Linked DNA regions of Drosophila melanogaster. The protein of the gene in region 1 binds, or shares a complex with, the protein of each later gene. Each region holds a gene or a part of one and is shown on either strand. Other genes may lie near its edges.

Region 1 (4,776 bases):
TTATGATTACGAGATGGTAATTTCACAACGTGGCAGCTCTGGCGAGAGCAACAACAGCTGATTGCTAATCAATGATTAAAAAACTGATTAAATTAGAGATAATTCTCCGCAGCTTACACTTGTCGCAGCTTTCATTGCTCCCCGCATTGCCCCCCAAGTTTCCGTACCCCCTCCTGGATTTCGAGCTTATGGGTGCAGTTGGATCCGCTTTGAGATCCCCAATAGTCGACATGTCCACCAAGCAGGCGAAATTCGTTGAAAACACCATTGCCAGCAACAAAGTGGTGATATTCAGCAAGACCTACTGTCCCTACTGCACGATGGCCAAAGAGGTGAGAAAGTTGCGAGACCTTGAAAAGTCCCAAACAGTGATAAACATCTTTGCGTTCCAGCCCTTCAAAAAGCTCAATGTGGACGCCACCATAATAGAACTCGATGGAAATCCCGATGGCAACGAAATTCAGGCAGTTCTGGGCGAGATTACCGGTGCCAGAACGGTGGGTGCACTAAATATTTTACATTATAAAGATTAATTATCATTTGTAACCTGTGTACTGTGTAGGTTCCCCGCGTCTTTATCGATGGCAAATTCATTGGCGGTGGCACTGACATCAAACGAATGTTCGAGACAGGAGCTCTGCAAAAATATTTCCAATAAATAGTGTTCTTACTCTGTTCAGAACTCCGTTTTATGTAAAAAGTTTGTTAATCTTCAAAGTCCTTAATAAATGCTTTTAAAATTTATGTTTTGCGCTTATTGAGATTACATCGTCTTCTGAGTAATGGGCAAAGTGTTACTAATACCATTCATTATCCGTTAATAATTTTTATGATTGTAGTTCTACGGATCTGTTAGCATAGATATCACAAACATAAGAATATCCCCTTCAACTGCGCCCATGTGAGCAACAGTTTGCAGTTTTAACTGATCTGGCAGCGCCGTAACTGCAGTAAATAAAAAATTGTTTACAATAGTATTTAATAAACTGAATGATGGCTGATTTGGTGAGCGGTGAAGCTTCTGAATCCGACGAGGAGCTGCAGGAGAAGAATAAGGTTGTTGAGGATATCATTTATAAATAACAGTCCAATAATAAAACCATTTTGTGACAGATTTTTGCTGCTGAAATTTCGGGCGAAGCCTCCGAAGAGGATGATGAAGACATTTACGAGCAAGGCCGAAGCAGCAACCAGGTCAACAGCACGGCTTCCATTTACCGGAATAATCTGCTTCAGCGGAAACTAAGTATGTCACCAATTCTGTGCCTTCAAACATTTCAACTTAATGCCCTTTTCCAGTCGAAAACAACATTGCCATTTGGAGATCCCTTACCGCTTTCACTCGCAGCTTTGTGTTGAGTGCATCAAAGCAGCTCGTAACCACTGATCAAATGCTCATCAAGTCGCAACATAGTCTTCAGTCGGCTCACACATCCCTGCAGCAGGCCCAGAAGAACGCCCAGGACCTGCAAAACAGGGTGGCTGATGTTATTACCAGCAACTTCCTCCCGCACATAAGCATCCAGAAGGCAACCTGACTTAGACGTATAGTGTATTTGCTGATAAACGATCAAATCTAGGCTAATCCTCTGTATCGGAATTGGGCGCATAGACCTGAGTGTTGGGTGAGGGCTCCCGCGGCACGTAGGTCCTCTGAAAGCAACGTGAGAAGATGGTTCGCACCTTGTTAGGGCGCTCAGGTGACTGGGGTATAGTTTCGTCCTCGTCGGAGGAGCTTTTCGCAGGTTTAGGTTGTTGAGAGTCGTCTGTGTTGATAAAGCAAACCTCCGTGCTGTTCGGCGGCTCTGGAGCAGGTGCCATGCTGGCCTCCAAAGCGGCATCCGCGGCTGCCAGCATGAGAGCCTCTTGTTCCGCCTCATCTTCAATCAGAACCACAGTGTCCACCTCGGCTAGGATGCGAGGGTGCTGAACAGATGGCGCCTCCGAGTCCCGGAACTGAAACAGTGGATTATCTAGGCTCGATTCTAATTGGGTCTCCTCAACTCGCCGTTTTGGCTGCACTGCAGCCGGTTCCGAAGAGCTGCCTTTGCGTTTGTTGGTCACATTCGGCTTCGAAACGCTGCTCTTTCGCTTTGCGGCCGCCGCTCGTACATCCTCATCCTGCACTGTCAGATCCTTTTGACAATAATCTTCCGAGAAGCTTATATCATCGGGGGATAGCGTGGACATGATCAGCAAGCATTCAATCTCGCCATGCTTCTTAATTTTGAGCAGGAAAGGCATGCCCGCTTCGTCGAACTCCAGGGTCAGCGAAGCATTTAAGCACTCGGCGAAGAGGAGAAATGCTCGGAATTCCTTAATGCAGAATGTAATGACCGTCTCCTTCGTTACCTGGTACTGCTCAAATTCACTGGGCTTAAGTTTCAGCTGCGTGCGCATGAACTTATCATTAACTCGGGCTCCTTCTATGTAGTTTTTGGCCACCACACTGCCCGAGTTTGCCTCCAAAGTAAGTTCCTCCTCTGAGGAGTTAAAGTTATTGGATATATCCGTCAACAGCTTGTGATCGCCACGGATTCTGAAATGTTGAGTAGTAAATTCGGATTTATATGGGCATAGTTGTTTTAAGAGAAATAAGGTAAGGAGATAAACTTAATAGTTATCCTTAACACAAACCAAAACTCACATATTCGGCATCTGATCGGTGTTAATGTTTGTGTTAATGTTTTGGTCGTCTATGATGGAAATGGTGGCCTCCTTTGTGGTCTCCAGCTTACAGCGGAGATTCACCTGCAGGTTGGTCTGGTTGTCCAGCAAGTTGAGTTCACAGTACTCCACCTGGAACATAATATTCTTAACAACTAATCCCAGTGAGCAGACTTTCGAACTTACCTCATTCATGTTGCGGAACACGGCCAAACATCCCTTCATGGAGATCTTGCAGTAGAAATCTGAGTGCGGCGGCATGTCATACACTTCGAACATGGATCTTTTGAACGATATGCTGCCCACTGCGGATTGGGTGGCATTTATGGCCCGCATCTGCAAGGATTGCTGGTCGATCTCGATGAACATCTCCTTGCCCACCTTGGACAGCGATTGTACGGCTTTGGCGATGACTTAAAAAATGAATTCTTTTAGTTATCAATATATTTTGCTGTTTATTATGTGGTACCTCTTGCATTGCTGCCCTCTAAAGTGTATTTCATTGGCAATATTTGCACTATGTTTTTGGTCGCGAAATTCGCGCTGAAATTTGTAAACAAACAAATTAGAGTGATAGTAGTCGCACAACAGGTATGAAAAATACCAACAAAGGAATTTAGTTACCCATTTATGCATTTTGAAGTAAGTATGTACTATTTTTATATTTCAATAATTTCTTTTATAATTTAAAGCAAAATATTTCCATATTGACAATTGTCCGTAAAATAAATAAATTTAAATAAGTTCTTCAACCCGATGTAGTTCCAATGTAGTCTGGTCACACTGCGGCATGCCGGTTCATCAACGAACGCCACATCAGTTCTAAATCAAATTAAGAAAAACTGGGCTAAAACCAGCCGAAAACTGGTGAAAAGTAAAATATTTGGAGAAGGAAAGCCTTAAGTTCCTCTCTACGCTTAGTATACGTAATGTGCGTGGTTTAATCTACGTTAAAACAAGTGGAAACCATGTTACGTGCCGTGGCTTTGTGTGTGTCTGTGGTGCTCATAGCACTATATACGCCAACTTCTGGGGAATCCAGTCAGAGCTATCCCATCACCACGCTAATCAACGCGAAATGGACGCAGACGCCCCTATATCTGGAAATCGCCGAGTATCTGGCCGATGAGCAGGCGGGCCTCTTCTGGGATTACGTTTCGGGGGTGACCAAGTTGGACACGGTTCTCAACGAATATGGTTTGTGTTTATAAGTCATGGAGAACCCGCATTAAAGAGCTTTTATATTCTCCTCAATGTGAATCGAATCCATATAAAATCAAGTAATGGTTCGGAATATAAAATCACCTATTCCCAAAGCCCTATAATGTGATCTTTTCCCAAAGGGTAATTTATTTTTCTGATTACGTTTTCGCTTTTCAGATACCGAGTCGCAACAGTACAATGCCGCCTTGGAGCTGGTCAAGAGCCATGTGAGTTCTCCCCAATTGCCCCTGCTTAGGCTGGTGGTATCCATGCATAGCTTGACGCCCCGGATCCAGACCCACTTCCAGTTGGCCGAGGAACTGAGGAGCAGTGGCTCTTGTCAGAGCTTTACTTTTGCCCAGGTGGGTTCCGAACTGGCCTGCAGCTTTAACGAGCTGCAGAAGAAGCTGGAAGTGCCGCTCGCCAAGGATAGCTTGGATGCTTCTGTTGTCACCTACAGCTTTGATCACATTTTCCCTGGCAGTGAGAACAATACCCGCACTGTGGTACTATACGGCGATTTGGGAAGCTCTCAATTCCGCACCTATCACAAACTATTGGAAAAGGAAGCCAATGCTGGCCGGATTCGTTACATCTTGCGTCATCAATTGGCCAAGAAGGACAAGCGACCGGTACGACTTTCGGGCTATGGAGTGGAACTCCATCTGAAGTCAACGGAATACAAGAGTCAGGATGATGCTCCAAAGCCCGAAGCTGGTTCCACTTCTGATGAGGATTTGGCTAATGAATCGGACGTCCAGGGCTTTGATTTCAAGGTGCTGAAGCAGAAGCATCCTACACTTAAGAGAGCGCTGGATCAACTGCGTCAGAGGCTTCTTCAGGGAAACGATGAGATCGCCCAATTGAAAGCATGGGAGTTCCAGGATTTGGGTCTCCAGGCGGCCG
Region 2 (4,158 bases), on another chromosome or scaffold:
TGAGGTACAGGTAGATGGGCAGCACCAGCAGGTGCAGCAGGATCAGGGCCAGCGATGCCAGGATGTACATGTTTCCGCGTTTCGTGTTGCTGCACGCGCCTTTGGCTCTCGTCCAGTACTGATCGATCGGACGGAAGTCGAAGCTGAATCTCTCCGGCATCATCGCTGCCCGGAATCGGATGGAAAATCTATCGATGCGGAATCCTAATGTATTTATTGATAGCTGACTTATCAGCTACTGTTCGATTGTAGTTCTGTTTACTTTCACACTGTGCAGTGCATTGAACAAATAGAAATAAACATATTCAATGTTCTTTATTGTTCTGTCTGACAAATAAAGTTGTTTTCATTGGAGCAGCGTACCATTATCATGCCCTCTTCTTCAGAGTCATTGTAAATGGCGATGCAACTTTCTCCTCCGGGAGTCCACGTCATTTAAAGTATTATAAAGTAATATCAAATCGTTCCAAGGCCACCTTAAGTACTCAACTGAATGCTGAATCCATCTTATATTTGCATGAGAAGCATTAACAATTGACCCACACGCTAACTACAGACCTCAATTAGATTTACATGATTTCAAGATTTTAGCAATATTTTAAAGTTCTATTTTATTAGCTACCTAGTAGTTTCGGTTTAATCAGTGTTGAGCAAAGGAATTATGAAGAACTGAATGAATATCTCCTCCTGGCTATCGCCCTGCATTACCAGATGCAGTTCTAGGAGGCCAACGGAGTTCGTTTTAATGGCCACCTTGGTGGCCGACTGCATCGCCTTGTTGGTCATGCGGATCTGCTGGCTCTTGTAGCGAGCCACCACCGTCTGTTTGCAGTTAAACATCATCATCATGGGACTCGTCTTTGCCACTTCGACGCTGAACACCGCCTGCATGATCCCCACTGTGGTGATCTTAAAGTGCGGGCGGTTCGGCGATGTCACGAACTCGAACTCCTCCGCGGACTTCTCCAGCTCATTGAACACCTTCGATAGGTTCGGTCCGCGTACGAAAATAACATTAAGATCCGGATCCTTCAGATTCTGATCGTAGTCAATGGGCTCATCGCAGTCCATGGTTTTGATGGCGCACTCCGTGCTCACATCATCGTCGTCGTGCGGATACAGAATTATCTTCAGGGGATCGCCCTTATCCCTGTACATCATTCGCAGGCTGCAATCGGCGGATCCGAAGAGACTGAGACACTCGGACAGCACATTCATTTTCACACCGAAGCACTGGAAGTCCTGCACACGGAACTCCATGAAGGCACCCGGCGGCATGAAAAGCGTTGCCTGGATGGACTTGCCCTGCTCCACGGTGATGCGCAGACCATCTTCGGAGACTTGCACCATCCCATACTGTGGGTAAAACAATAGGTTGTTACCGAGTTAAGTTGGTTAACGAATAAAGAGAGTTCGAGTTAATCCTTACATCATTAAAGCAGATTGACTTGATGGCCTGGATGAAGGTCTTGATGTGCTCCACTCGAGCGACGAATTTGCAGTCGCCGTAGGGCGATGGCTCCACATCAGTCATCCTAGTCCCGAAAGACGTCCGTCCGCAGCTCCTTGATATCCTCTTTCTTAAGGATCTTCTCGGTGGTTTTCCCGCCCGTGTGCTTCAGAAATTGATGGAGCCGCAATGCCAGGATGTGCTGGCAGGTGTAGGACACCCGGCTCTCCTCGCTCCAATCCTCTAAAATGCCCGGTTCGCCACTGGGAAGGTCCTGGTAGAGGATGCCTCGCGGCAACTGCAGCACGTGGCACTGGAAGAACTCACACTTGCAGAAACTTACGCCCGGAATCAAGCGGAAGTACTCGGTTCCCTTGGAAATTTCTACCACGCACACGGATCGATTGTTCTTGGCGTGGAAGAAGGAGAAGTTGTGGTCGTCCAAGAGGTGTAGCGATCGCAGGACCAGTTCTTGGCCCAATAAAATGGATAGATCGTAAAAGAACTGTCCGCGTTCCTCTGAAAAGTTTGAAATCCAGAGTAGTTACTACAGAATCTTTCTGATTTGATAGCTCGTACCTTTTGTAAGGCTGTTGGACTCTGCTTTACTCCGATATAATTCGAAGACTTGATCAACCAGATGCGGAACAAAATAGGATGTAGTGTTTTCTGACTCGGACGCCATTCAGGACATTATTAAATCCAGTTTCTTAAGTGAATTTTGTTTATAAACAATACCGCCAAAAAGTCGTCAGGCGTCAACAGCTGTTCTGAACAAAAGTCTGGCAGCGCTGCATATTGGTGATTTAATTATTAGGGTGACCAGTTCCAAGCCTTATATGGTAAATGAATTTCGCGCCAATTATCTAATTCGAATTGGGACATTTACTCTTTTCAACTTTTTAAAGAATGAAGGCTTTATGCAGAAACCCTTATCTACCCTGCACAACCCCTGAAATGTAAATAAAACCACAATAACTTTTGGTTCGGATTGGTAAAATCATCTTCGAGATCTTTAAAAATCTGCTACACGTTAGTTCGATGTAGTGCTCTACTATCTATGGATTGTGAGAGTTTGTGCGGGCATTACAGCCGTTTTTGGTGCTATTCTAAGTCATTAATGATTAAGTGCTAACAAATTTCTACTAATACATCTAAATAATGTTCTCCTTTTCGTGTTTGATGCCACTGCTGCGTCGCTTGACGTTCTGGATCTTCATCATCTTGTTCTCGTCGGCGCACTTGGTGGTGATGGCGTTGCGCACCTCCTTCTCACTGGCATTACACTTGTGCGTCACTGCGAATATGATGTCCTGGATCTTCCCAGGATCGAGCATTCGCTTGAGCGGCTTGTCCTGATCCTTGAAGGCGGGCGACGGCTTGCCCGTCATCGAATGGGTGGCCAGAGTTTCCCGGTCGAAGATCGTGACCAGTAGTTTCCGGGTGGCCAGCGAGCACACCGACCAGTTAATATTCTCGAAGACACTGGCGGGCACACAGGTGTTGTTCGGGCCAATGGACACCATCACGTTGTCCATGTTTTGCTGTTGGCCCTTGTTGAGATCGGTAAAACTGCCATTACGGGCTTTGACTTGGGGTTTGGCTGGTAGTTTTATGTTCTGCCGCGGGATTTCTTCCTGCAACTGAATCTCCTGCAGCTTGCGGCGTTTGATGAACTGTAGTGGAGTGTCGGCGGACTCGGAGGAACCATCCCTCTTTATGCCGTTGCTAATCCTGTACTGCTGCTGGGAATTGTGATGATTGCTCTGCTGATGATTCTCGTCGCCCAGGCAAATCTCCAGGCGATCTGAGTCCGCAGAGGTGCTCAGGCTGTTCAGACTCTCCGCCGCCAGGCGAATCTCAATGGCATCCGCATCGTCGGGTGCCGAGATGATCTTGTAGTCCAGAATCTGGGGATTCTGCGCGGGCGCACATATCTCTGAACTCGGTGGCGTGAGAATGTGGTGGCTCTGGACCGCGGGCGGCGTGGGTGGTCTACTTTCTGCCAGCAGGGAGGATGCCTGTTGCATCCTGGCGGAGGTGGCATGAATCTGGGATAGCAGATCCTTGTGCTGCTGCAGTTTGGCCTCCAAGTAGCGGACCTTATCGCGGAGCGCTCTGTTCTCGACCTCCACTTGCGGGTCCGGCGCGGAGATGCTGCGAAGCACCTCGAAGTCCACGCTAGAAGTCTGCGACCAGGCATTCAGAAACAAGGGCTTGCTCCTCCTTGCCTGCGAATCCTCGCGTGCAGTGGCGCTGACTATGCGCTGATATTGCTGCAATTCGATGGGAAAAACTCTTGATCAACATATTCGGTGGAGATATCCTGCAGCTACTCACGTTTTCCATGTTCAATCCTCAAAGGATCTGCGTCAACTGAAAATTGGCGGCAGAATGCGAAAAGTGGTTGCATTCCTACCTGCACGCACACATGCGCACGCATATACGGGGAAGAGAGCGCCTGCCTCTGCGTGTGTGTGAGTGTGCCCTCCAGGTAGCTGATATCCTATTCCTGTTTCTGTTTCAGGACCCCGTCTATTTCCCAACTAGTCCAAGTCCAGCTGTCTTTTCCTTTCTTCGCATGGGATTTGTTGTTTGCGCGGGAACCAGTATATGTATTATAATTATTATTATAAATAATTGCGAATAAAGCTGCTTTTGCTCTCTCTTTCATCGACAGGGTTGACACCTAGGGCTATGAAATAAAA

The links.
Region 2: Rad9 (region 1) and Rad1 share a complex: the UniProt entries of both Drosophila melanogaster proteins name them as parts of the 9-1-1 checkpoint clamp complex.

The regions. Positions count from the first base shown.
Region 1 is NT_037436.4:18,869,315-18,874,090, forward strand, and holds Rad9 (Rad9), read right to left. Parts: upstream 3,240-4,776; 5' UTR 3,171-3,239; coding exon 3,137-3,170; intron 3,081-3,136; coding exon 2,854-3,080; intron 2,800-2,853; coding exon 2,648-2,799; intron 2,540-2,647; coding exon 1,684-2,539; coding exon of another isoform or gene 1,582-1,683; exon of another isoform or gene 1,539-1,581; coding exon of another isoform or gene 1,467-1,538; coding exon 1,365-1,466; coding exon of another isoform or gene 1,300-1,364; intron 1,247-1,299; coding exon of another isoform or gene 1,114-1,246; intron 1,057-1,113; coding exon of another isoform or gene 994-1,056; 3' UTR 731-993; downstream 1-730. Other genes in the region: Grx1 (glutaredoxin 1), read left to right, coding at 189-332, 393-497, 563-658; Blos3 (biogenesis of lysosome-related organelles complex 1, subunit 3), read left to right, coding at 994-1,056, 1,114-1,246, 1,300-1,538; Uggt (UDP-glucose-glycoprotein glucosyltransferase), read left to right, coding at 3,636-3,864, 4,048-4,776. UniProt on the Drosophila melanogaster protein: Component of the Rad9-Rad1-Hus1 (9-1-1) checkpoint clamp complex.
Region 2 is NT_033779.5:2,572,847-2,577,004, forward strand, and holds Rad1 (radiation insensitive 1), read right to left. Parts: upstream 2,207-4,158; 5' UTR 2,136-2,206; coding exon of another isoform or gene 2,030-2,135; intron 1,970-2,029; coding exon of another isoform or gene 1,536-1,969; 5' UTR 1,535-1,535; coding exon 1,430-1,534; intron 1,357-1,429; coding exon 637-1,356; 3' UTR 590-636; downstream 1-589. Other genes in the region: Cyp309a2 (cytochrome P450 309a2), read right to left, coding at 1-163; Sws1 (SWIM domain containing Srs2 interacting protein 1), read right to left, coding at 1,536-1,969, 2,030-2,135; insv (insensitive), read right to left, coding at 2,605-3,726, 3,791-3,799.